7 linked regions of the Ovis aries genome follow. The protein of the gene in region 1 interacts with the protein of each later gene in a pairwise test. Links are inferred from orthologs where the notes say so. Each region holds a gene or a part of one and is shown in the gene's direction. Other genes may lie near its edges. The genes, in order: HTT, DNM2, PSMD4, ZDHHC17, IFT20, HOXC11 and melanoma-associated antigen B18.

Evidence for each region.
Region 2: the proteins of HTT (region 1) and DNM2 interact in binary tests that used the Homo sapiens proteins (3 or more experiments, as listed by UniProt). The link is inferred for Ovis aries from reciprocal best matches to the Homo sapiens genes HTT and DNM2.
Region 3: the proteins of HTT (region 1) and PSMD4 interact in binary tests that used the Homo sapiens proteins (3 or more experiments, as listed by UniProt). The link is inferred for Ovis aries from reciprocal best matches to the Homo sapiens genes HTT and PSMD4.
Region 4: the proteins of HTT (region 1) and ZDHHC17 interact in binary tests that used the Homo sapiens proteins (3 or more experiments, as listed by UniProt). The link is inferred for Ovis aries from reciprocal best matches to the Homo sapiens genes HTT and ZDHHC17.
Region 5: the proteins of HTT (region 1) and IFT20 interact in binary tests that used the Homo sapiens proteins (3 or more experiments, as listed by UniProt). The link is inferred for Ovis aries from reciprocal best matches to the Homo sapiens genes HTT and IFT20.
Region 6: the proteins of HTT (region 1) and HOXC11 interact in binary tests that used the Homo sapiens proteins (3 or more experiments, as listed by UniProt). The link is inferred for Ovis aries from reciprocal best matches to the Homo sapiens genes HTT and HOXC11.
Region 7: the proteins of HTT (region 1) and melanoma-associated antigen B18 interact in binary tests that used the Homo sapiens proteins (3 or more experiments, as listed by UniProt). The link is inferred for Ovis aries from reciprocal best matches to the Homo sapiens genes HTT and MAGEB18.

Annotation. Positions count from the first base shown.
Region 1 is NC_056059.1:116,328,161-116,331,660, reverse strand, and holds part of HTT (huntingtin), read left to right. Parts: intron 1-75; coding exon 76-190; intron 191-299; coding exon 300-513; intron 514-798; coding exon 799-904; intron 905-2,358; coding exon 2,359-2,521; intron 2,522-2,616; coding exon 2,617-2,777; intron 2,778-3,500.
Region 2 is NC_056058.1:13,045,420-13,049,664, forward strand, and holds the start of DNM2 (dynamin-2), read left to right. Parts: upstream 1-1,445; 5' UTR 1,446-1,608; coding exon 1,609-1,769; intron 1,770-4,245. UniProt on the Homo sapiens protein: Catalyzes the hydrolysis of GTP and utilizes this energy to mediate vesicle scission at plasma membrane during endocytosis and filament remodeling at many actin structures during organization of the actin cytoskeleton.
Region 3 is NC_056054.1:101,142,702-101,146,685, forward strand, and holds the start of PSMD4 (26S proteasome non-ATPase regulatory subunit 4), read left to right. Parts: upstream 1-1,184; 5' UTR 1,185-1,199; coding exon 1,200-1,225; intron 1,226-3,984. UniProt on the Homo sapiens protein: Component of the 26S proteasome, a multiprotein complex involved in the ATP-dependent degradation of ubiquitinated proteins.
Region 4 is NC_056056.1:112,711,772-112,715,271, forward strand, and holds part of ZDHHC17 (palmitoyltransferase ZDHHC17), read left to right. Parts: intron 1-1,766; coding exon 1,767-1,831; intron 1,832-2,480; coding exon 2,481-2,643; intron 2,644-3,500. UniProt on the Homo sapiens protein: Palmitoyltransferase that catalyzes the addition of palmitate onto various protein substrates and is involved in a variety of cellular processes.
Region 5 is NC_056064.1:19,762,925-19,767,224, reverse strand, and holds the start of IFT20 (intraflagellar transport protein 20 homolog), read left to right. Parts: upstream 1-1,500; 5' UTR 1,501-1,586; intron 1,587-4,300. UniProt on the Homo sapiens protein: Part of intraflagellar transport (IFT) particles involved in ciliary process assembly. May play a role in the trafficking of ciliary membrane proteins from the Golgi complex to the cilium.
Region 6 is NC_056056.1:132,539,316-132,543,273, reverse strand, and holds the start of HOXC11 (homeobox protein Hox-C11), read left to right. Parts: upstream 1-1,158; 5' UTR 1,159-1,429; coding exon 1,430-2,111; intron 2,112-3,397; coding exon 3,398-3,630; 3' UTR 3,631-3,958. UniProt on the Homo sapiens protein: Sequence-specific transcription factor which is part of a developmental regulatory system that provides cells with specific positional identities on the anterior-posterior axis. Binds to a promoter element of the lactase-phlorizin hydrolase gene.
Region 7 is NC_056080.1:24,366,450-24,369,261, forward strand, and holds melanoma-associated antigen B18, read left to right. Parts: upstream 1-1,242; 5' UTR 1,243-1,289; coding exon 1,290-2,312; downstream 2,313-2,812. UniProt on the Homo sapiens protein: May enhance ubiquitin ligase activity of RING-type zinc finger-containing E3 ubiquitin-protein ligases. Proposed to act through recruitment and/or stabilization of the Ubl-conjugating enzyme (E2) at the E3:substrate complex.

The DNA of each region.
Region 1 (3,500 bases):
ATGGGAGGGCAGCGCGGTGCCGGCCGGCAGCACGGCGGCCGTGTGCCCTCATCTGGGCCGACGCCTCGGTTTCAGCTGCGTGAACGTGCATAGCCAGCAGCACGTGCTGGTGATGTGTGCCACGGCCTTCTACCTGATCGAGAACTACCCGCTGGACGTGGGGCCGGAGTTCTCGGCCTCCATCATACAGGTGAGCCGGCCTGGCCTGGGCTGCGCCCGGCGACCGCTCCCACCTGGGAGGAGGCGGGCGGCCAGAGGCCCACAGCAGCCTTTTGACCCAGAAGCCCTCCCTCGCGCAGATGTGTGGGGTGATGCTGTCTGGAAGCGAGGAGGCCACCCCGTCCGTCGTCTACCACTGTGTCCTGCGGGGCTTGGAGCGCCTCCTGCTCTCCGAGCAGCTCTCCCGGCTGGACGCAGAGTCCCTGGTCAAGCTGAGCGTGGACCGGGTGAACGTGCACAGCCCGCACCGCGCTATGGCGGCCCTGGGCCTCATGCTCACCTGCATGTACACAGGTGAGCCTGGCAAGCGCGTGCCGCTGGGCGCCAGACGCAGGGGTTCTGCAGGGGCCTTCAGGCTGCGTGGGGTCAGAGCACCGTCTGGGAGCAGGGGTCAGAGCCCCATCTGGGAGCAGCGCTCAGGCCGACCCCTGTGCCCTGTGTCTCGGCTGGGCCCTGCGGGCCCCCGCCCCCGTGTCAGACCATCAGTAGGAGTTCCGTAAACTCCTGTGTGAGCTCCAGGCCCCCTTAACAGAACCGTCCAGTTTTACAAACCAGCGGCACGAAACGGCTCTGTTCCAGGAAAGGAGAAAGTCAGTCCAGGCCGAGCGTCTGAGCCCAGCCCTGCTGCCCCTGACAGCGAGTCCGTGATCGTGGCCATGGAACGCGTGTCCGTCCTCTTTGACAGGTGAGCGCGAGCCCGCCTGCCCACAGCCGGGGGCGGCCTGCTCCCTGCCCGGGCCCCGGGCTCCGCGCCGCCCCAGGCTCCGCGCCGCCGCGGGCCGTCCTGGCACCCAGCGCCCAGGTTTTGACTCGGGCGGCCCCAGGGCTGTCCCAAGTGCTGGCCCGGGTCCCGATGGCGAGGGGCAGTGTGGCGGTGTCGGGGTCCTTTGAAGAGATGTCCTGGAGTGTGCTCGGGACGGAAGCGGCTGTCCAAGCTGCCGTTGTATAGAGAAGGGCCTGGGGGCCGCGCTAGAAGCGGCTCGGGAGGAGGCTGCGCTTGTGAAAAGGAGGCTGCTCTCACGACCCTCGGACAGCGTTAACCAGCAGGCAGCACCCTTGAGAGCCTGTGACGACGGCCCGCCTCCACGTGTGTGCCCGGGTGTCCAGGACGGCTTGGGGCCCTCGTCCGGCTCTGCCCCGGGCCTCTCAGGCTGTGTCTGTGGCCTCGGGGAAGCTGGCTCTGCCCTGCGCACCTCAGCTCTGGTCAGCTCGGGCAGCAGGCGGCCATCCGGGTGCCCACGTTGCGCACACGTCACAGAGCCTTCTCCAGGCCCGCTCTGGCCAGAGAGCTGAGCGTGCACGCTGCGCCCACGTTGCCCATTTCAGTGAGCGTCCACAGTCCCACGCTTACGCTCACCAAGCCTGGGGAGCAGGCAGGGCGCCCACGCTTAGCCTTGCCGCGGGGGCTCACGCACCAGGCTTGCTGCGAGATGAGCGCGTCTGCCCGTGCAGGGCCGGCATTCAGCCTGGCCACGCTGTCACGCGTGGAGGCCTCTGGGTCAACGGTGCTGACTCTCCCTTGCGGGTTTCGTGCCTGTGGGTCATGGTTGGCGTCTGCAGGCAGGTGGAGCGGGCACACCGGGCCGGTTTCCAGGTCCCTTCTGGTACTTTTCAGTCACACGCGCCTGTTTGATTGGTTCTGGGGGGCCCATCTCCACGGGCTCCAGAGTCTGCTGATGCGCAAGCCCCTCGTGTGTGCTTGTGCAGGGGCCCCGCTTCCGCACTCCTGAGGCCTGTGTGTACTCAGCTTCCTGCAGATGGGGCTTGCACGCAGAACACGTGGACATGGCGGGCCAGCAGAGGTGTGCTGATGGCCAGTAGCCTGCTGGCTGCCCCTTGGCCCTGGGAGGGCCCTGTGCCAGGGGCCAACCACGGGTCTGCTGAGGGCAGGCAGCTGGGGGCTCTGGGGCAGGGCTGGCGCAGAGGGGGCCTGGCAGGGGCACTGACGGGTTCCAGGAGCGCAGACGTGCCTGAGGGCCTCACGAGGACGTGGGTCTGTCACGAGGGGCTGTGGCGTGCCGTGATGTCACCACCCCAGCCGTCTTTGCTGCTACTTCAGGATGCCAGCCGGTCAGGAGCCCCCGGGCTGGGGAGCACGGCGGACGGGCTCTGATCCGGGCTCCACCCCCCACCACACAGGATCCGGAAGGGGTTCCCCTGCGAAGCCCGCGTGGTGGCCCGCGTCCTCCCTCAGTTCCTGGACGACTTCTTCCCGCCCCAGGACGTCATGAACAAGGTCATCGGCGAGTTCCTGTCCAGCCAGCAGCCGTACCCGCAGCTCATGGCCACTGTCGTGTACCAGGTGAGGGGCCGGGCGGGGCGCCCAGGCGGGCGCGGGGCCCCCAGCTCCCCCCAGCTGGCGCTGACGGGGCGGCCTCGCCCGCGGCCTCCGCGCAGGTGTTCCAGGCGCTGCACAGCGCAGGGCAGTCGTCCACGGTGCGGGACTGGGTCATGCTGTCGCTCTCCAACTTCACGCAGCGGAGCCCGGTCGCTATGGCCACGTGGAGCCTCTCCTGCTTCTTCGTCAGCGCGTCCACCAGCCCGTGGGTCTCGGCGATGTATCCTTGCCTGGTCCTGGGCCCCGGACGGCCCTGCCGTCCCGTCAGCATCCTGGTTGACGTTTGCGTCAGCGTTTTGGGAACCCAAGTTCTGTAGGAAGCCCAGGTGTCAGGGTGACGCTTCCCTTAAGCCCCAAGAGAGTGAGGCACGAACCAGGAAACAGGAGCCCGTGTGTTCCCTGCTCTGAGCGGGGCTCCGGGGGGGTCCGTGGGGAGGGGAGGCCCCCAGAGGACCCCCTGTGTCTGCCTGCGGGTCCGTGCAGCTGGGCGGGCCACTGCGCTGCTTCTCAATAGCGCTTGTCACGTGCCGTGTATCACCCTCCTGGGCAAACGCTGGAGTCAGTGAAGATCCAGTTCCCGCCCCCGACACGCTGGCTGCCAAAAGGGGACGGCCCCTCCCTTCAGCCTTCCCCAGACAGACCGCAGAGCCTCGGAGCAGACGGCTGTCCCGGCGCTGGGAGCAGCCCGGGCGGGCGGCATGGCTCTGTGCTGGGTGTGCAGGAGCCCGGCCAGGTAAGCCCTGTGCGAGGGGCAGCCCCGTGGGGCGGGGGCTCCGGCTGGAGGGCCCAGACCCAGGCGTGAGGCAGCTGCCACCCAGCCCTGGGCCGCTGCTTTTGTAGCTTTGGGGAGCCCCTCGGCGCCCCTTGCTGTCCGCAGGCCTGTGTCGGGGCAGGAGCCCTGGGGGAGGCAGGAACCCCCTGGAGCACAGGAGCAGGCCTCCCC
Region 2 (4,245 bases), on another chromosome or scaffold:
TTGCTCTTCTTTTTTGCCAGTAAACAACTTAACCTTTTATTTTCCCAAGGCCAGCGCCATCAAGTATCTCCTCAATTTTGTGTGTCAGTTGCTCAGTCATGTCCGACTCTGCGACCCCATGGACTGTAGCCCACCAGGCTCCTCTGTCCAAGGGATTCTCCAGGCAAGAGTACTGGAGTGGGTTGCCATTTCCTTCTCCATGTACCTTGCTTCCCCCCAACCTTTCTCTTAGTATACTGTATCTCAAATTGTTTACACTTTAGTACATGAAAATTTACTCAATTTTGTTTATGGATTATAAACAGTATTTACTTAATGAGCTCCATGGATGAGCAGTTAGGGTATTTCAAGTTTCTGCCACCGTAGTCAAGGCTGCAGTGCCAAACACTGTCAGTCTTGTTGCTTGTCTCTGAGACCTGCAGTTCTGGGTCATGAAGAAGGCAATTCCACTCTGCCATTCTTTCACCCCTTGTTTCTCCATTCCCCTGTTACTGCCTGGCCCAGTCAGACTACTTCCCCACCTCCTTTGCTCCTAACTCCTTACTGAGCTACTTCTCTCTGGCTTAGTTTTCTGAATGTTGAGCTTTAAGCCAACTTTTTCACTCTCCACTTTCACTTTCATCAAGAGGCTTTTTCTTTCCTCTTCACTTTCTGCCATAAGGGTGGTGTCATCTGCATATCAAAGTATATTTGGACCTTCAAAATATGTTGGGACCCCGCGCAGGGAGCTGATTTGCAAGCTCGCGGCTAAGATGCATTTTGAGACTTGTAGTTTTCTTTAGAGCCCAGAAACACAAGTGACTATCAGCACTGAGTCCTACCACTAGGCGGCGCGCGTTGCCGCGTACTGTGAACCTATCCTCTGCTCCAGAAGACCCTACTTGACATACAACATTCACAAACTAGAACGGGGCGGGGGAGGTTTTTTGATGGACAGATACAGCTTTCAATCAGAGTCAAGATTTAGAAGTTAAATCCCACCCTCTTTGACTTGTTGGGTGATAGAAGGGAGTGATATTTATATAAACCAATGGGAAAATTTTAGGGAACTAAATAGAGTCAAGCGAAGAACCGATCCCTAGTATCATTGGCCAGCCTTGTTGATTGGTGGGTCTGCTTGCCAATAAGACTGGCGGATGTTCCTTCTATCCGGGAACACCCCCTAGTAGGCGGGGCCAACATGCCTTTTCCCGAAACACCGCCTCCCGGCCGAGACAACTCGCTTGCCGCTGCTATTGGCTCTTGCACAATAGCGACAGTTCTTGCGCCCAATGAATCAGAGAATAGGCCCCAGGGGGCGGGCTCATTCGGCAATCGGCCCGTGCCTCACTTTCATTGGTTTGTGTGCAGAAGTGACAGCCCAGCCGGCCAATCGGAGTTAGTGCGAGGATTTTTGGCGCAGCCCCAGGGCTCCGGCGGGAGGTCGGTCGGGTCGGGTGTCGCTTGAGAACCGGATGAGGCGGCGACCGTGAGGCCGAGCCGGGAGCGGGCGTCGCGCCGAGGCCCGGGCGGGCGGGGAGCAACGGCCGCGGACGCCGCGGGGCCGCGTCGTTGAGGGACAGGGGCGGGCGAGGAGCGCGGGTCGCTCGGGCCGGGGCCACCGGCGCCATGGGCAACCGCGGGATGGAAGAGCTGATCCCGCTGGTCAACAAGCTGCAGGATGCCTTCAGTTCCATCGGCCAGAGCTGCCACCTGGACCTGCCGCAGATCGCCGTGGTGGGCGGCCAGAGCGCCGGCAAGAGCTCTGTGCTCGAGAACTTCGTGGGCCGGTGAGCGAGCTCGGTGGCGACGGCGGGCGGGCGGCGGCCTACGGCGCGGAGGGCGGACTGGGAATGGCGCGCCCTGCGCCGCCGGCGTAACTGCGGCGCTTGCGTGCCCGCGACCGGGACGGGGACAGGGGGGCGGGCCCTGTGGGACGCCCTGAGTGGAGGGCTCCCTGTAGGGGCTGGGGAGCCGGCCCAGACCTAAGGGGTGTCCCACGCGCTGGGGGGCGTGGGCCAGGAAGTGCAGTGCAAGACCTCTGACTCTCTGGCCCCCAGCTCTAGTGGGTGAATTCTACCATCTGGTTGTCTGTCTGTCCTGAACCTGTCTCCTGGATATTTACTGGGCCGATCCCCGTGGTCTGGCCGGCTGCTCATTGATTTGGAGCAGTTCCTGTCGTCTGGCTTGCTGTCTCTCTGTCCTGGATAGGCTTCCCCGCCACCACCATTTGGCTGTCCATCTGTCCAGGACCGCAGGGCAGCTCCCTGCTGCCTGGCTAGCTAGCCAGAAGGCCCTGTCCTGTCTGGTTGCCCATCCGTGCCCCTCACAGACTTAGCTCTTCCTCTGTTGGGTTACCCAGCTGGCCTGTGCTGTCTGACTGGCTGGCTGGACCCTGGGAGACCCTGTTGTCTGGCTCTCCTGGGCTGCCTCTTCAACTTGGTGCCTGGCGAACGCTGGCTCCTCGCTTCCAAGTGGATCCTTTTGTCTCTGTGTCATGGTGTCAGTCCTTCTCGTCTCCCTGACCCCACTTCTGGGCAGGGGATGAGAGGAGCTTGCAGAAGAGAAGGGGGCTGAAGGGTGAGACTTGAACTCCTCTCCTTTGAATTGGAAGTAGGACCCTGGGGGGCAGACATTTTCCAGGAGTCTTTCCTGGCCCATGTCAGGTTGCCTGCAGGGCCCTGGAACATGGGGACCAGCCCCCAAGCCAAAGCCTGCATGGTGGGGATCCTCCTTGGATCCTGAGAGGAACTTCTGGCCCGATCAGGCTGCAGTGGCAAAAGCTTGGATATAGCCTTCCCTGGGAAGCCCCGAGAAGTTTCAGTTTGCCCATCTGTCCAGTGGACAAATTCCACTCTGGGCTGTTTCCAGGATTCACAAAGCCAATGGAGGAGAATGGGCCCTGTGGCCACTGAGGGTGGTTACCTCTCCCCTCTCCTCCCCCCACCTCTTTTCCTTCTGCCTCCCAGATGGGGGGCCACTTCTGCATTCTGGGAAGGACTCCATTTGCGACTGCGGCTGCCAGATGATAACGTCATGGCGGTTGGTAGTTTACTCGTGAAGTCCTGTGTCTGACTCTTTGTGACCCCATGGACTGTAGCCCACCAGGCCTTCTGGTCCATGGTATTTCCCAAGCAAGAATACTGGAATGGGTTAGCATTTCCTCCTCCAGGGGATCATCCCGACCCAGGGATTGAACATGTGTCTCCTGCATTGCTGGCAGATTCTTTACCGCTCAGCCAGCAGGGAAGCCCTGATAACGTCATAGTCATCATCATGTTCATATTGTTGTTGTTATCAGTGTTAAAGAGGTTCATCCAGCAGCCCCCAAGCTGACTTCTCTCTTGGTTCAGCTCAGAAAAGACTTGCTGTTTGCCCAAGGCCACCAGGCTGGCGCTCAGTGGAGCCCAGCTGGGTGCTCAGCCCCGCCCCGCCTTCACAGTGGCCTAGGGTTTTGCTCCCAGCGGCATGAATTTCCTCCTTTGCTGCTGTGTCCCTGGCGAAATGCCCTCTTTCTACTGTGGCGGAAAGGTGTGGACTTGGGATCAGCCCAGGCTGGGTCCCCTGCTTGGCCATCCTCCTGCCTACCCAGGCTTCCGGTGGGTGTCTGCAAAGCTCTGTCCATTTCATCTGCCTCGTGACCTTGCACAGGTTGTTTGACCTCTCTGAGCCTCAGTTTTCCCACCAGAAAAAGGGCTAATGGACCCTTAACAGGACTTGCAAGGATGTAGTGACACGGTGTGTTAAAAGTGCTTACTTAGCATAGTGCCTGGCACCTAGTGGGTCTCCTTGGAGGGTGCTGTTGCTCACTAGGCTGGTTCCGTTGTGGGTGTGTGTATGCTTAGTTGCTCAGTCGTGTCAGCTCTTTGTGAGTCTGGACTGTAGCCCTCAGGCTTCTCTGTCAGTGGGATTTCCCAGGCCAGGATACTGGAGTGGGTTGCTATTTCTTTCTCCAGGGGATCTTCCCTACCCAGGGATCAACCCTAGGTCTCCTGCTTTGCAGGTGGGTTCTTTACTGGCTGAGCCACCAGGGAAGCCCCGGTTCCTTTCATATCAATAACCAAAGCTAGTCAGAATTAAAGTGCTCTGAAGTTACACATTGGACTTTACTGAAGCCTCATGAGGCTGGCACCGCTATGATCCCATTTTCTAGAGCACAAAACTGAGGCCCAAAGAGCTGAGCATTCTTACAAGAGGTTGTTCAGTGAAGGATCAAGGTCTCTGGGTTGGGGAAACCCAGGGTCTCTCTCCCATCCCCACCTCTCA
Region 3 (3,984 bases), on another chromosome or scaffold:
GTCAGGGAATTTCCAGCCAAGGCATTTTTAATTAAAATAATTTTATTTTTATTTTTTGGCCATACCATGACAGATGTGGGATCTTAGTTACCCCACCAGGGTATGAGCCCACAGCCCCTCCACTGAAAGTGCAGAGTCTTAATCACTGTACCACTAGAGAAATCCCTAAGACATTTTAAAATGTAATTCTTCTTTTGAGGGATGCTGCACTGGGTCTTAGTTGTGGCATGTAGGATCTATTTCCCTGACCAGGGATTGAACCTGGGGCCCCCTGCACTAGGAGCACAGTCTTAGCCACTAGACTGCCAGGGAAGTCACTAAAATGTGATTTGATTAAAAAGCGAAAGTGATTGACTAGGTTGTCTCCCATTCTTTGGGAGATTAGTTAAAATTATTGATTCATCAAACTTTTTTCTGCCTTCCTACCATATGTCAGGCTTTGTAGTGGACTTAGGGATAGCAGAGATTGACACTTCTCTTGCCCTTAATGGGGACTTCCCTGATGGCTCAGACGGTGAAGAACCTGCCTGCAGTGCAGGAGATCGGTCCGATCCCTGGATTGGGGAAGATCCCCTGCAGAAGGAAATTGCCACCCACTCCAGAATTCTTGCCTGGAGAATTCCACGGACAGAGAAGCCTGGCGGGCTACAATCCATGGAGTCGCAAAGAGGGGGACACGACTGAGCGACTAACACTTTCACTTTCTTTTGCCCTTAATGAAATGAGAAAGACAGATACACAAACAAATGCAGTTCAGAGGTATAAGTGCTTAGTAGTTTGATGAACAAAGTGCCATGGGGAACCGGGGGAGCTGGAAAGTCAGTAGTCAGTAGTCATCCCACCAGTTTTTAAAAACGATGATGCTGGAATAGACATAGCTTCAGCACTTTCAGAAGTTCCTTCACGTTTTTTCTTAGCTCTTCTCTGCAAGGAACGCCACCAGAAAACCTGAATGGCAGGGCAGGTGGAGGTGTGGCCCTCTTTTTTGTGTTACTTGGCCCCTCCCTCCGCCCCAAACAGCTCCCACTTTTTTTTTTCTTTCTGGCGGCGCCTACAACTCCCAGAAAGCAACACGGGGATGAAGGCGGAACCAGCTGGCCCAACCGAGGTCAGTGATTGGTGATGCGCGCCGGGCCAATTGGAGGAGCTGTTGTTTAGTGGTCTAGGAGAACCGGTCGGGGAGGGAGGAAGGAGGCACGATGGTGTTGGAAAGCACTATGGTTTGGTGAGGAGCCACCTCGGGCCCCCTTGGGCAGCGGGACTGGGTCGGGGGCGCCTGTAGCTCGGAGGCCAGGCGGTCCTGGGGTGGGCGAGGGGGCCTGGTGGAAGAGATGAGGCCTTGGGCCGGGAGGAAAGGAGCTCCAGCGACTCCCTGAGTCATCCCGGGGCCCCAGAGGTAGTTCCCGACGGACGGGCCCGAGGTACCCCCCTTAACCCTCAGTCCGCGGACAGTCATTGACCGGTCCTGCTATTTTTCTCCATTACAGCGTCGTCTTCTCTAGACCAGCCTACATCTGTCTTTAGCTAGAGTCCTGCTTCTCGGACTCACCGTGCTAGTCTTCTGCCTTCCTCTCCTTTTCACAATGATGGGTGTTAGGAAGAGAGTTTCAGCTCCCTTCCTTGCCCCACTCACTTGTCGCTAACTCCTTTGCTTTTCCTGGTGTTACCGTCAAAGGCACTACAAGAGTACTTTTTAAGTGTTTGTGGCTTAGTCGTTAAGTCGTGTCGGACTCTTGGCGATTCCATGGACTGTAGCCCGCTGGGCTCCTCTGTCCCTGGGATTTTCCAGGCAAGAATCCTGGAGTGGTTTGCCATTTCCTTCTCCAGAGGATCTTCCCGACCCTGGGAACGAATGCGGATTTCCTGTACTGCAGGCAGATTCTTTACTAAGCTACCTTCTAAATGTTAGGCATTTAATTTGCTTCATCTCACTTAAGCCTCACAATACTCCCTCCCTTTTACAGATGAGGATACCGCGTCTCGGCAGTTTTAAATGACTTACACAGAATCACACAGCAGGTTAAGTGGTGGAGCCTAGGTTTAAACTCAGGATTATCTGACTCAAAGACGCTTCGGCACTTATCCAGTGAGCTCTCATCAGTCTGACTTGGCTAGCTGTTAAAACTGAGGACCACACTTTTGCAAGGTTTCAAGAGTTTCTTCTAAGTGTGAGCCTGGAATGAAAACAGAATAATACACAAACACACACAAATCCCCAGTTGCATGGAACAGACACCTAAGGGTTTTCTTTTTGCTGGGTAGATACTGTTGCCAGATAGCACATAGGATGCCCAGTAAAATTTAAATTTCAGATAAACAATTATTTTTAATATCACAATGGCCATGTGTATGTCCCACATATTGGATGGGACATACTTTCACTAGAAAGTTACTGTTGTTTGTCTGAAATTCAGATTTAACTGGGAGTCCTGTATTTTCTGTTCTTTATTTGTTTTTGGCTGTGCCGGGTCTTCACTGCTTTTGCCTGGGCTTTCTATAGTTGCTGGGACCTGGGGCTACTGTTTGTTGTGGTGAGGGTTTGCAGGGTTCTGGTTGCTGTGGAACACAGGCTCTAGGCGCCGGAGCTTCAGTAGTTGTGGCACACAGGCTCAGTAGTTGCAGCTCACTTGGGCTTAGCTGCTGTGTAGCATGTGGGATCTTCCCAGACCAGGGATCGAACCCATGTTCTCTGCATTGGCAGGCGAACTCTTTACTACTGTGTCACCAGGGAATTCTGGGAGCCCTGTATTTTCATTTGCTAAATATGGCAGCCTCTGGACGAAAGCAAGTTAAGAGTAGAAAGAGGACAGGATTTGGAATCCAAAATCCTGTGTTTGGGGTACTTTCCAGCCGCATGTTCTTGAGAATGTAGTAAATCTCTCACTTTAGCTATAAAATGCGAATATAATAGTAACATCTACTCTTCTCATAGCAAGGGTAGGCAGTGTGTGTCGTGGTGCTCTGTAAACTGCAGCACTCTGCATCTGTTAGTTGCCATGATGCTTAAGAAGTCCTCAGGAAAGAATTTAAGAGGGTCCTTGAAGGGACTTAGACAAATGTTAAGGAGAGGCCATTACATGTAAGGAGAAGGGCATAAGGAAAGCTGCTGAAGTGTACATTCTCAAGGCTTGTTTAGGGAGTAGAAAATGGACTAGTGTGGCTTCATTATTAGGTTGTTGGTTGAAGGTGGTTCCCTTTTTTGGAGAAAGGGGCATGCAGCCAGGTAGAAGAGCACAGATGTCGGGTTGAGGAGGCTGAATTCTGCCCTTTACCCTTCAATGGAGGACTACTGAAAACGTTCTGAGGCTGGTGGAGCCAGAGCTATATACAAAATGGGATTTAAGAATGCTGATCTGGCTTGGGGTATGGGAGGAAAGGTTAGGTCCAGAGTGATGCACTGGCACCCTGTTGTAACAGCCCAGCCATAGAAGAGCAGTGAAAGCCACTTCTTTGCTCATGCTTTGCTGGCCCTCAGAAAGTTGTGTATATTTGATTCTGCTTGGTCTGGTGGCTCAGACTCCCAGCCAGGGAAGCTTAGGCATCTGTATTTTTTTTTTTTTTTAATGAAAATTTTATGGAATAGCTGGATAATTTTGTCAGCCCTTATTTTGATATAAAATTTTATTGGGAAAAATTACTGTTGAGTGAAAGTAGTCACAGGAAATGCATGTATTATCCTGTCTGTATAAAGTTCAATGTTGGGAAAAGCAAACTGCATTTTTTAGGGGTGCACACATAGGTGTGCAAGCATCTGTGTTTTTACCAGTGCCAGCACCGTCACCCTCAAAGTGGTTCTGATACACTCGTGACAGCAGGAGGACCGCTCTCGTGTTCTGCACAGCAGGTTCTTCCTCCCTCTCAGCTGCCCCCCCCCCCCCCCCCCCACCTCCCAGGGCTTCCTCTGACATCTTTCTTCCAGCCTTCATCCATCTGCTGGTCTTGCCCACAGCCTTTGTACTTAGTAGCTATTGCAGCTGGATGATC
Region 4 (3,500 bases), on another chromosome or scaffold:
AATATATTTGGACGTTGGAGACATACTCCCATCAGTGAGAGTGGCTTGCAGAGAACTGCACGTAGAGTTATGAAGCGTTCTAACAGTGCACGCACTATGACTACGTTCTCTCCGCTGGGCGGTGGATTAGACAGCATATGTTGGATAACATCTGCAGGTTTGATGTAGTCCAGGAATAGGAGATGGGGACGGGATGAAGGGGAAACAATTTTTATTGAATGTCTGTTATAGGATTAGGTTGCCTTACACACATCATTCCATTTAATCATCAGGGATCTTATGAAGCCATTATTTGTATTCACATTTGTAGATGGGAAAGCTGAGGTTCAGAGAATTATAGTAATTTTGCCAATTTTACAGTTAGTAAGTGATGGAGCTAGGAATTCAAAATCATGTCTGTCTTGTTCTAACACCCATGCCTTTCCCAAGCCTAGAAGAGTAGATAGATAAACTTGTCTTTTCATTTAACAGATGGTTTTTGATTATTCTCCGTGCCCCGAAAAGTAGATACAAAGATGATTTTAAAACAATTTTGATCTTTAAAGAAGTCCTGTTCTAGTTAATGAGACAGATGCCTCAGGTACATAGCAGAATCAAGCCAAATTGATTGCTGGAGTGGGTCAAGAAAGAATTTTAGGGAAGTGAAATGAATAGAGTCTCTGATACATTAGCATGTCTTAAAAGAAGCTTTAGATAACTTGAGAAGAGTTTGGGTTGAATAGGTTGTAGTTTTAATTCTAATTTGCTAAAAAGAAAAAAAAAAATTAAGCAAAAGGGAGAAAAAAATAGAGTACCAAGGAAAGCAAAAAGCTGGGTAGGAGAGAAAAAGTAATCATGGTTTCTACATAACTTTGTTGGGAATAGTATTCATATATATTTATAATAATGTAAGCATCAAATATTTACAGAACCTGAATTATTATCTCTTCAGAGGAAGGACTAGGAAAGGTGCATGCCTGTGATGGGCCAGTGAGAAGAGAGAGAACATGCCATTTTACATGCTGAGGTTGTGTAAAATATGGATGTTGAGGATAATGCCTGAAACTGAAAAATCAAAAAGTGCCAATTCAGGTTTTTTATTTTAAGTATGTGGGAGTAAAAAGCACAATAAATAATGAGTTTTTAAAAAATGAAAATGGTAGGGACTAAGACAAAGGATTGCTTTATTACCTTGCTTTTTCACCACAGACTTTGTCTAGATAGTTAATTCTAAAAATATTTATGCATAGTGATATAGTGATAAGAAGCATTTTAAAACAAGGAACAAATTCAGTAAATTTTAGTAGATTCAGAACATTTGACTCTTTTAAAATTTATTGAATTTATTCTGTGTTTTAAAATGTCTAGAAATAAACAGGGTTTTATTATTCCCTCATATCATGAATTAATATAAATAAGTTTTTCAGAGACAGAAGTCATTTATTTAATCTGTCCATTGTGGGTGAAAGATCAAGGGTAGGTCAAGATCTTTAAAAGGCTGAGTGAAGCATCTTAAAAGAGAAAACTATAAATAGAAGTTAATTAAATATTAAATACATGTTTTTATTTATAAATAAGTAACACATATCCATATTAATTTGAATATTTAATATTAATAAATATTGAATAGTTTTACTTTAAAGTTAAGAAAGGAAAAGTTTCATAAATCAACCTTGACTGAGTGGTGTCCTCATGTCGGCTTCTTTTGTGATGTGTAAATTACGTTTTTCTAAGTACATGTGGTAGGGACTTAGACATTTTTACTGTCTGACTTTTTACTCTATCAGGATGTAGATATGATGGATCAGAATGGGATGACGCCTTTAATGTGGGCAGCTTATAGAACACATAGGTATGTAACCATTATGAAATACTTATTCAGATCATTTTCAGCATGATAAAATGTAAAACAAGTGATGAGAAAAAGCAATTAATGTTATACTTATTAGTATTTAAAATTCTTACCATGAATATGTAGTATATAACACAGATTATCCTTTTGGGTATTTTGAGTCTTTATGTTTACCTTTATGTTGGCAATTGTAGTGCCCTTAAGGTAGTCTTAAGCAGTTTCCAAGAATGGAAGATGCTACCTTCTTATTAAAAGTATAACTCATTTTTTATATGACTGGCATATTGGCAAGTTTAACATTAATAAGTTGCCTTAAATCATTTTTGGAACAATCTAGATTTAAATTTAAAATTTTAATTGTTTAAGTATTTAAATACTAATGACATTAACTCCATGATGTAGAATATAAACATTAGGACCAAGTGTGCTCTCTCTTGGAACTAGTTTACTTTACGTTCTGTGATGTAGAACATACTTAATTCTTCATGTTAAAAATGTTGTCTCATTACTCATTATAAAGTTGTCGAAAATAGGTTAGAATAGAAGTGTTCCAAGATGGAATATAACCACAATCAGTTTAGTGTCTGTAATGATTTCTATAATTGAAATTAGGGTTGTTGTTGTTGTTGTGTTTTTTTTTCCTTTTCAGTGTGGATCCAACTAGATTGCTTTTAACATTCAATGTTTCAGTTAACCTTGGTGACAAGTATCACAAAAACACTGCTCTGCATTGGGCAGTACTAGCAGGGAATACCACAGTCATTAGTCTTCTTCTGGAAGCTGGAGCTAATGTTGATGCCCAGAATATCAAGGTAAAAATAGCCTTTATTGATTGTGCTTTGTGAAATGTGATTACCAAGATTGGAATTCTTTAATAAAACTTAGGTTTTTTAATAGACTGTCAGAGGTGGAAGAAACTTACTTACTCTCAACCCTTTGCTTCCATGCAAGAATTTGTTTTGAAAAACTAATTTATTTATTTTCGTCTTTTAGTATTGAAGTATTTTTCAGATTTTGGTGACCTTTTCATTAGTGAATTCTTACTGACTTTTATCTCTTTATAGCTGAATAGATAGTTTTCTGATTTCTTTAAGAAGATTATTGCACTAAGATCCCACATGTGGCACCACGTAACCTAAGTAAATAATATCATTGCAGAGAATCACAGATTTTTATCCCAAGTATGCATAATAACTTTGAGTAATTTCTTGACTTGGTCATTAATTATCTTATTTTTATAAAGGTCAAGACCTTTACATTTGATAATCACCTCTGTGATATTTGTAGGAGAATTTCTCTCCCCTAAATGCTAGAGTAATCCAAGAAAAATGTACCCCCAAAATACAAAATGTTAACATTTACACTCTGAGCATTTTAGAAATTTATAGACATTTTTATGAATACCTGCAGGAAAATTCTGTTGATAATCTTAAATTTTGGTTAACCATTCTCAGTGTTAAAACTTGTCTTTTAGCAACAGACTTTTTCTGTGAAATGACTTTAAAATTTTAAACATCTTTTAATAATGTGCCTTCTTAAATAACTTTGTACTTATTAAGAAATGTTGTTTAATTTTGACTATAAGCCATAGTATTTTCTTAGTCATGCCTCTTAAATTTCTAAGGAATATATGCTATTTAAATATTAAAGGAATTTGAAATGCATAATA
Region 5 (4,300 bases), on another chromosome or scaffold:
TGGCAACCTGCTCCAGTGTTCTTGCCCCGGGAAATCCCATGGACAGAGGAGTCTGGGGGGCTACAGCCCCTGCGGTTGCAAAGTTGGACATGACTGAGTGACTGACCGTTCATCCTGGGAAGAATGTCCAAGGAAAGGCCAGGACAGGTGCTGTATGAAGTACTGAACTCCTTTGGTGGTTTGTCCAGTATGGATGAGATGAGCGCCCCGCCCCAGCAGACTGCCCAATCAGTAAGTTAAGCTTGAATGGTATGAGATAACTTTACCAAACTGCCCACCCGGAAGGAATAAATCCACCCCTTAACAGGTTTTAACAAGTTCTCTATGCATTTTGTGTCTAGCCCCAATTTCCCCACGATCAAAGAAAAGGAGCTCACCAAAGGTTAGGCGGCTGCCAACAAAGGAAGACAAATCCAAACTAATCTATTCTTTTCCAACAAAGCAATTGCTTTGAGCCCCTGGATGACGTCAGCTGAGATTCCAGTTGCTCAGATTCCGCCCAGGCCAATAGGTTCCAGGAATCCTGTGGCAGGTGACGCCCCAGAAGGTAATTCCAGTGAAAATGAAGTTTCCACTGAAAGCCTCAGAGCTCTTCCTTCCGGACTTTGTGTGTGGGTATTTGGGGATGCTAGGGGCCTATCTGTGTCACACTAGGCAAAGCGAATGGGAACCTAAGCGGAATAAAGGGCAAACAATCACGGCGGTGTTAGACGGTGGGGTCCTAAGGAAAGAAGGTCCCAGAAATTCGTCACACCAGGGATGGCGAGGGGAGGAGCCGATCTTGGTCAGAGAGGGCGGATCTAGCAGAAAATCCAAAGTGTAATTCTATTGCTACATCCAAAAGGTGTGGGCAAATTTATCCAGACCCAACCTCTCCATGCCAGTGTAGAGTCTTTCCCAATTCATACCCCTCCTCACTATTGAGAAACAGAGACCGGTTCTGACACCCATCCCCAGGGGAGGATTTGAGCTCTCCACCCCCACCCCTCTTTCGCCGTCCCACGCCTTTTCCCCAAGACCGCGTGGGGCTCTCTTTGCTCAGCCCAGGACCCAACCATCCCTTCCCCTAGGACATGGGCCGGCTAGGCTCTCACCCTCCCCGGTGGCGCCTCTCCTCTCAGCTGGATTGCAAGTCGACACCGTGCCGCCCCCGAACTGTGGCCGCTCGAGCTCCAGCAATCCCGGGCCGAAACTCGCATCCTCCACCCAAGGACTCCGCCCCAAGCCGGCGGGAGCCTGAGACGAGAAGGCAGGGCAGGCCCAGCATCCAATCAGGGCGGAGGGAGGGGCCCCTGAGAGTATTTTGCGCTGAGAGCATAGCTACTTCCGGCAGCCTTTCCGGCGCAAAGGCTCTGGGTCTCGTAGGCAGTTATCCTTCCTCTCAGGCCTCTGTTTCCCAGCAGGCCCTGCGGGCTTGATGGGTCTAAGTGCTTCGGGGTCGGGAAGTGACGTTGACGTAAACAGGTTCTGTCGCCGTGGCAGCAGCTGAGGCTGCTGGGCAGGGTGTCGGCGGCAGCCGACTGGAGAGAGGCGCTGACTTCCGACGTTAGCCTGGGTCGCCAGCGCTGTCGCTGCTGGGTGAACAGGTAGGCCGTGACCCCGGGTTGGCGGGCTTGGGGCAAGCCCGGGGTGAGATTAGCCTAACAGGCCCGTGCCCCGAGGAAAAGCAATCGCGGGGCGAAAGAAACGTGGTAATTCCGCCAGGCTCTGGGAGCGGTTTTACCCCCGGCTAGGGCCTGGAGCTTTACGCGCTGCTGCTCCCAACTATCTTAGGAGGAAACCGCGGCTCAGATTAAGTTCAAGGAGTTTACGTAGTGAAGACGCGAGCTCCACACCCAGGTCTTCCTAATTTTCCCCACACCCCACGGGTGGAGCCTGTTCGGAGCGCCCAGCGTGGTTCCGGGGAGACCCCCGGGGTGGGTTTGGAGGAGAACGCGTCACCCTCTCTTACTGGAGCTCAGTCCGGCTCTTGTGTCCGGTGTTCCTCAGATGCGCGTGTGGTGGGAGTTGGGAGAGAATCCGGTAGTCGGCTTTGAACCCTCTCCGCTTCTTCTCCGGTCTGACCCTTCTCATTCAACTATCCCTTCCAGCCGTGCAGCTGGCTCAGGCCAGGTACGCGGGAATCTTGCCTGACTCTTTTTCACTCCTCCCCAAACCCCTGCCTCAGTCATCCTTTGCTAAGTCCTATCAACTGGACTTACAAAACATCTCAAATCGGAACACTTCTTCAGCTCCAAGCCTTGGTTACTGAAATAGCCTGCTCTGTTTTCACAGTCATTCATACCACATACATTTGCTGAGTGCCAGTTTCTGTGTAGGTATCATGTTAGATGCTAGGGTAACAGCAATGAGCAAGATAGTTGTAGCTCCCTCCTCTTTCTTCCTCCAACCCATTCTCTATCCTGGGTCTTGGTGATCTCTCTAAAGGGCAGGTAGTCAGATAGACTATGCCACTCTGCTGAGAATCCACAGGCTGTCCGTTAAACGCTTATGAGAAAATCCAGGCTCGTTACTGCAGCTTTCAGAGCCCTCCGCCATCCAGCACTACCTAGCCTTCCCATCTCACCTCATCCCGTTTCTCTTTATCCCTTGCTCAGCCTTTCAGCCACACTAGCCTCTTGGCTCTTGTTACAGGTTCCATTTCTCATAGCCTCAGCATCTTCACAGGTGCTTTTCCTTCTGCCTAGAAATACCTCCTCCTCCCTTCACTTGACAAACTTCTGGACAGCCTTTAGTTCTCAGCATGTCACTTTTTCAGAAGACTTTTGTTTGCAGTTTTGGGGGGTAATTTTGTGTCCACATGAATTTTATCCTTCTGCTACAGCTTCATGTAGCACCGTGTGCTTTTCCTCATACTTTTATCATAATTTGTGATTATTTGTTTACTTCCTGCCCAGAGGTCGGGAACTGAAAGCACTGAAGCATTTTCTTCACTACTCTATCCTCGGGACAGTAGATGTTTGTGAATAAATGCAAGCTCTCTGGGAAGGGAGTGCGAATTGAAGCAGCTCTTTGTGCCCTCTGGTTATTTGAAGCAGTTTGTCTGGTTAGTTACTTGTGTGTGTGCTCAATTGTGTCTGACTCTTTTGCGGCCCCTGGACTGTAGCCCGTCAGGCTACTCTGTCCATGGAATTTTCTAGGCAAGAATACTGGAGTGGGTTGCCATTTCCTCCTCGAGGGGATCTTCCCAACCCAGGGATTGAACCTGTGTCTCCTGCATTGGCAGGTGGATTCTTTACCACTCACCTGGTAGGTGCTAAATGCTTAGACAAGCGGTCTTCAACCTTTTAGGCACCAGGGACCAGATTCATGGAAGACAGTTTTCCCATGGTCAGGGGGCAGAGGCAGGGCGGGGGTGATGATTTGGGGATGATTCAAGTGCATTACATTCATTGTGCACTTTATTTCTATTATTATTATATCAGCTCCACCTCAGATCATCAGGCATTAGATCCCGGAGGTTGGGGGCCCCTGACTTAGACTATATGTGTAAATAGGACAAATAGGAAGACAGATCTTTTTAAAAAGCCCAATTACAAGGGAACTCTGGATGATTAAAGTGTTTCAAAAGGAAGATGCTAGTTGACTTACTTGAATGGACTGCAGTGAGACCGAAGGCCCTGGGCCATACACAGCTAGACATGTGTTAGTTGGCCCACACAATGTTGGATGTGGGTTTTGGGTGTGTTTTTTTTTTAACTTAAAATTTTTGAATTAAAGGAGATACTGTTCTTTAAAAGTCAGATTGCATACATAAATCTGGATTTTTGGTCCTCTTGAAAGTCAGTTCTGGCAATAGTGGAACTTGATTCTTTTTAACCCTTGCTCTTTCTGTGGTATACCTACCCTGGCAAGTTGCTTCCAGAGTCACCCCATTCAGAACAGAACTGCTCTAACGTATCGGGAAGGGAAACAGGGGAGGCTGGGGAAGATGAGAGAGAAGGACTGGTGCAGGGCCAGGCTGTGGTAGCCTTTGGAACACTGGGGGTTTCCAAGTTGGTTTAGCAGCCAAGAGCTAGACCTCAGTAGCATTGCCTCCCTTTTTAGACAGGGCATGTGCCCTCTTATTTTTATTTTGTGTGTGTGTTTAAGCCAAAATGAGGGTGAGTTTTCAGTGTTTCCTTCCCAGAATTGAGGCATCCTTTGGACCAGGAATGCGAGGTGGCCTGGGAAGGGAGACGATAACTCTGCTGGTTCTCATCTACAGAAAAAAAAGACAAACATTAGCTTGGCCCACAGGGTATCTCTGCTCTGGCTCCACCCGGCTTTCCCTCTCCATCCTCTGTCCTTTCGACTTCTA
Region 6 (3,958 bases), on another chromosome or scaffold:
TCCTGTGGTGCCCAGAGGGAAGGGAGGCAGGCAAGGGAGGGCAGAACCACTGAGCCCACCCCTTGGGTCACACCCATCTAGGAGGCTGGTAGATGTGGAGGAGGGCAGGGCAGGGCTGAGAAACTGCAAAGAGGCACCCACCGAGGTCTGACTGCAACCCCTGGGGAGGGAGGAGTGGGGCTGGGGGTTTCCACTAGGGAGTGGCCCCTGGCCCTGCACAGCCCGCCAGGGTCCTCAGTTCCCTTCCACTGCCCTGCTGGTCTGTCGCAGAGATCTATACTGTCCACCCAAATCATTCAAGAATATCAACCCCAAACCCAGATCCCCCATCATATCCTACCTAGACCCAACACTGGGCTTCTTTACTGCGCAGAAGCTGACACTGAGCACCCAATCCAAAGGGGCCCCAACAGAGAATACGCCCAAGACTCTCATTGCAACCTTTTTCTTGGAGGTTGAAATTTTAAAAGCCACTGTGGATGCAGCTTTCTGTGCATTGATTGACAATAAAGGCAGGCATGAAATATTCACCCAGGGCCACTCTCTCATACTAAATATTTAACACAACATTAGAGAAGGTTTTTCCCAGACTTCGCCAGGCACCGGCTGGGCGGCTGGCTCACTGCTTACCACTGTTTATGACTAATCTGAGTCCCTAGCCGGCGGCAGCACAGCAAGCCAGACAAAGTTGGGACACTGGCTGGTTGCTGGGCCGCCTCACCTTTGGGAAACTTCAGATACCCTTCCAGGGAGTCCCTCCAGAGGGGAAAGCGAGTCTGGATAACCAGCCCTGGCTAGGAAAAGAATCGACTTCTTCAAACTCTTGTAAACAGGCACTGACTCTCTTCGGGTTGGTGGGGTAAGAGTCCCTGAGAGTTGGGGGGAAAGATTCACGTCTCTGGAGGAATCAGGCAGCGGAGAAAGAGGTCCTCATCCCCACCTCTGTCTTGGGCTGATCACAGGGAGAAGGCAAGACCCCCATATGTGAGAACCCTCCTCCTTCTCCCAATCCTGGGGAAAAAAAAAAAAGAGCAGCAGCTAGAAAAAAATACAATTACCCCCTCCTAGCCACCGCCCCCGCCCATCCCACCGCCCACCCCACCCCAACCCTCTCTCTCCTCCTTTGCTCGCTCTGTGGAATGGAGAGGAGGGGAGTGTCAAGAGCAAAACGAATACAAATCTGCAATTGATTTTCATAATGTTTCTGCGGTGTTTGCAAACCAATCGCCTGAACGTCCCCATCTTACCTAAGAGAGAACCCCTCCTACGACTGCGAAGTGCTCCGAACTGATATATGACAATATCTACTTTGGATCACGTGCTCGGGGAGAGAGACTAAGACGGATAACGCGTCATCTCGCCTTCCCAAATTTTCCCCCCTCGCTAGACCTGGTCCAAAACCTCCATCTGGAGCCGGCAGAAGAGAACGATGTTTAACTCGGTCAACCTGGGCAACTTCTGCTCGCCGTCGCGCAAGGAGAGGGGCGCCGATTTCGGCGAGCGAGGGAGCTGCGCCTCCAACCTCTATCTGCCCAGTTGCACTTACTACGTGCCCGAGTTCTCCACGGTCTCCTCCTTCCTGCCCCAGGCCCCCTCTCGTCAGATCTCCTATCCCTACCCGGCCCAAGTGCCCCCGGTCCGAGAGGTCTCATACGGCCTGGAGCCCTCCGGCAAGTGGCACCCCCGGAACAGCTACTCCTCCTGCTATGCGGCGGCCGACGAGCTCATGCACCGGGAGTGCCTGCCTCCTTCCACCGTCACCGAGATCCTCATGAAAAACGAAGGCTCCTACGGCGGCCACCACCACCCCAGCGCCCCGCACGCCGCCCCCGCCGGCTTCTACTCCTCAGTCAACAAGAACAGCGTCCTGCCCCAAGCCTTTGACCGCTTCTTCGACAACGCCTACTGCGGCGGCGGCGACCCGCCCGCCGAGCCCCCCTGCCCGGGCAAGGGTGAGGCCAAAGGGGAGCCTGAGGCGCCCCCGGCCTCGGGACTGGCGTCCCGGGCTGAGGCGGGGGCCGAGGCCGAGGCCGAGGAGGAGAACACGAATCCCAGCTCGTCCGGTTCAGCCCACTCGGCGGCCAAGGAGCCGGCCAAGGGAGCCGCCCCCAGTAGGTAGCAGCGGCCGGGAAACAGGCGGGCAGGAGGGAGGGAGCTAGGGAGGGAGGGCGAGCGAGGGTAGGGGGGAGGCGAGGGGAGCGGGGACGGCCTCGTGTTTTGGGTCAGTCCAATTTTATGTGGAGTTTTATAAGCATTCAAAGGATTTTATTATAACCTACAAAGCCCTCTCTCCCAACGACTCGACTTTTTACGATGGAGAAGGGGTGGGGAGGGAGGGAAAAGGGCCCTTTGGAAAAACCGGGTGAACCCCCCTCTCCGTTATCTCCTTCGGTCTGTGAAAATTTTTAAAGCGCCACCATCGCGGGCAATATTAACTTTGATCGTGAACTTAGAGGAGCATTTAAGGAAGGATGGGGAGCCCGGCTGCCGGGGTTGGGGGTGGGAGGGAGGGGAGGGGTGGAGGGGGAGAAAGGGGAGGGCAAGGGAAAGACAGGGAGAAACTCCGAGAGGGGGAGTGGTGGAGGAGAGAGGCAATGGAGCAGAGCCGGAGCCCGGGGAGTCCAGCCAGGGCCGCCCTGCTTCTTTAAAAAAAAAAAAAAAAAAACTATTTTTTGAAATGTTCAAACTCTGTGTTGGCGGGTCCCTGAGCAGGGCCCGGAGCGACCCGAGGGTCAGCGGCGACAGGGGGTGGGGGCGAGGCGGGCTCAGGGCTCCCCTCTGCTCCAGGCCTGGGGCTTGGCGTCTCCCTGCGGCCCGCGGCCTCTGCGCCGGCCTGGCCCGGCCGCGGGGAAGGAGCGGCCCGCCGGGCGTCCTGGGGCGCCAGGGCCCCCGGAAGCGGCTCTCGGGTGTCTCTGCTGCCTGCTCTCTTGCTTCCTCCCCGCCTCCCAGTGACTCTCGCCGGATCGCACTTCTTTGCGCCTGTTCTCCGCGGTCCCCCCACATTTCTGGGGGTGGGGAGAGGGGGTGGGTTTTCAGAGCCACCCGGAGGGCAGAGGAGCGCGGCTGAGCGGGCGGGGGGCCTTGGGGACGCACTTGGCCAAGGCTGGCGCGCATCTCCCGCAGACCCCGCCACAGCCACGGCCCTCGCCGGAGGGGAGGGGGCACGGGCCCCCGCGGTGGCCCGGGACGGGGGACGCGCTTGCCGCCCAGGCAGGGGGGTCGCGGCTCGGCCCAGCGCCGCGCCCGCGGGAGGAGAGCCGGCCGGCCTGGCGGGAGGGCTGCCCGGCGGTGGGGCCGGCAGAGGGGCCCGCCGGCCGCTCCGGGGGGCTGGGGTCGCCCGGGTCTCACGTGTCTCTCTCCCCCTCTCCTCGCACTTGCCCCCTCCCCTCCCCTCCAGACGCCCCCCGCACCCGCAAGAAGCGCTGCCCTTATTCGAAATTCCAGATCCGGGAACTGGAGCGAGAGTTTTTCTTCAACGTGTATATCAACAAAGAGAAGCGGCTGCAGCTGTCTCGGATGCTGAACCTGACGGACCGACAAGTGAAAATTTGGTTTCAGAACAGAAGGATGAAAGAAAAAAAACTAAGCAGAGACCGGCTGCAGTATTTCTCGGGAAATCCTCTGCTGTAACCGCAGACTGGGCCCTTTTGAGGGGAGGGGGGAAAGGGAGAAATTATTTTATTTTATTTTTATTTTTATTTTCTAACTCGCCTATTTTCCGCGGGTGGAAAACTGGACTGTGGCCAGGGCTGGCCCCCACTGCCGTTTCCCGCACGTCTTTCTGGACAACCTCCTTCACCTTGGTCTGACTCCATGTGGGACAGGGACAGGGCCTGGAATGGGGGGTGAAGGAAAGTGTCTGACCCACGGCGAGTGGACACCGTTGGCGCCGAGGCCAAGACTCTTTATTTAAAAGAAAACACACCTCGCGACCATGTCTTGCTGCTCGGATTGGGTG
Region 7 (2,812 bases), on another chromosome or scaffold:
GGAGGACTCTTATCACAAAATAAGTAACTAGGATATATAATGGTAAATACATCATTCAAAACAGCAGTGCTATCCAAAAGATACGTCAAAAGAAAACGAACAACAATGCACATGATGTTTATGGAAGTAAATGTAAAAAAAATTACTGACAGACTTAGGTAAAAGAAATCTTACATAGAGCAACATATCTTCTGTTTATTCATGATGAGTAGAGTATTGTACAGTAGTCAATTCCCCTTAAATTATTTATAGATTTATGCCTTGCTTGATTGGTCTGGCACCCTATCAGATTAGTAGCTCACTTACAAAGCATCAAGGTAAGAAACTGAGTGAGGACTGAGGGGAGAGCCCACTCCAAAATAAGAGTCCACAAAGAGCCGTTCCCCCCCCCCCCCCCGCCCACTATCAGTCTTGGTAGGCCCTAGACATGGTTGCTAGGCTCAGGCTACCCCTTACTTCCTGCTGGGGGTTCCGAGGGAAATGAGAACCCTGGTCTGTGGCCAGCTGACTTAGCTCAGCAGAGGAAGAAGTCCCAGGCCCTGTCAGGAGTCAGGTAAGACTCCCTCATGTGAGTTCTGCACGATTTCTCCGCCTGCCAGGACAGACAGGGAGGCCCTTCCAGAACCGATTCCCCCCCGCCCTCAATGCTGGCAAACCTAGTTGGGCGATACCGGAAGTGCTCTCCCTGCCTTCCGCCACGGCAGCCGCGGAGCTCGAGGCTTCAGTTGGAGAGGTGTGGCCTCGTATATCTACAGAGGGACGAGTTCCAGGATTGGACAAGTGTCCAGGTAGACAATCTTTGTTAGAAGTAAAGGGACACACTCCTCCCAGAACTCGGGTGGTCCCGTAGAGCCCCTCCCTATCTTAACTTGCGCCATCCCGACCGTCAACCCCCGAGTGGCTCAAAGTGACCGTTAGGCCCAACACCCCGCTACTTCCACCAGAAGAATTTGTGGGATGGGAAGCCTTGGTCTGAAGGGGAAGCCTCAAGTCAGCAGAAGGAGTCGTAAAAGGACTGGTCAGGAGTCAAGTTCAGTGTTCTGGGTTAGAATTAAGGTGACAAGCCCCTGATGAACAGAGGCGGCCCACAGAGTTCCGTTGGCCTCTGTCTTGTGGGTTTTTAAAACGGTACCCTTAAGGGGATCAACAAAAGCAGTTGTTCTTGGAGCCAAGATAGAAGAATCTCCCTATGGAGGCTATACACGCCTTCTTTTCCTCTGTCTTCTAGGGTGAGCTCTTCATCAACCTTGGCAGCTTGAGCAACTGTCTGCGGTCCCTGACCAGTCATCATGCCTCGGGGTCAGAAGAGTAAGCTCCGTGCCCGTGAGAAACGCCGCCAGGCCCGTACTGAGACCCAGGGCCTAGAGGTTGCTAAGGCCTCTGGGGCAGCAGCAGCAGGAAAGTCCCCTTCTTCGGTTTTTGGGGACAGACCTGAGAATCTGCCTGCTGCTGGGACACCCAGCACTCCTGAGGCACCTGAGGGAGCCACTGGTGCTACTGCAGCTAGTTCAGGCACCAACTCAGCTGAAAATATCAATAGCCCAAAGGCGGAAAGCACAAGCTTCCCCAAGGGCGCTGAGAGCTCACTCAGTGAGATTTTAAATAAGAAAGTGGTTCTGTTGGTGCAGTTCCTGCTGCAGAAGTATCAAAAGAAAGAGCCAATTAGAAAGGCAGAGATGATGAAGTTTGTTATCAAACAGTACAAGAGTCATTACAATGAGATCCTCAAGAGAGCTTCTGATCATATGGAGCTGGCTTTTGGTGTTGATTTGAAGGAAGTGGATCCTACCAGGCACTGCTACACCCTTGTCAACAAACTAGACCTCTCCTATGATTCAGCTCTGAATGAATATGAGCACATGCCAAAGACCGGCATCCTGATGATTGTGCTTGGTGTGATCTTCATGAGAGGCAACTGCGCCCCTGAAGAGGCGATCTGGGAAGTGCTGAATATGATGGGTGTATATGCTGAAAGGAAGCACTTCATTTATGGGGATCCCAAGAAGGTCCTCACAGAAGATCTGGTGCAGCTCAAGTACCTGGAGTACCGCCAGGTGGCCAACAGTGAGCCTCCACGCTATGAGTTCCTGTGGGGCCCAAGAGCCCATGCTGAAACCAGCAAAATGAAAGTCCTGGAGTTTTTAGCCAAGGTTCACGATACCGTCCCCACTGCCTTCCCATCCTGGTATCAAGAGGCTTTGAGAGATGAGGAAGAGAGAGCCCGAGCCAGAGCTGCAGCCAGGGCTCGTACTGCTGCCCTGGCCAGTGCCCGCTCTAGAGCCAGAGCCAGCACCTCCTCCCAGGCTAAGTGAAATTCAAAAAGGTGTGTCAGCATTCTAACAGTGGAGGGCCAGGGTGGGACTGGAGAAGTGTATACCATCCTGGAGTTCCTGGTATATATTGCTAACTTAAAATTTTACCTTTCTCTCTTTTTTTTCTTTTTTAGGTTGAAAAAGAGCAGTAACATTCTAAGCTGTGGATGACCAGGGTGGGCCCACAGGGAAAATTATAATATCATCTTTGTGTTTCTGTTCTATATAGTAAACAAGAGTTTAATCTTTTCTCTTTTCTTTTTCTATTTTTTCCTCTTTCTCTCTCTTCCTTTCTTTCTTTCCTTAATGTTTTCTTTTAAAGAAGATATACATTTCAGAATCTAAACTTAGTGATTTTGGTTACATATTAGATTTAATCTAATAGATTTAATATAAGAGTTTTATTATCTTGCAACATAAATTGGGAAACCTTTAGTATATATTGAACTAGAACAACACAACATGGCATGGTAAAAGGCACTTCTTTGGACATGTGAAAA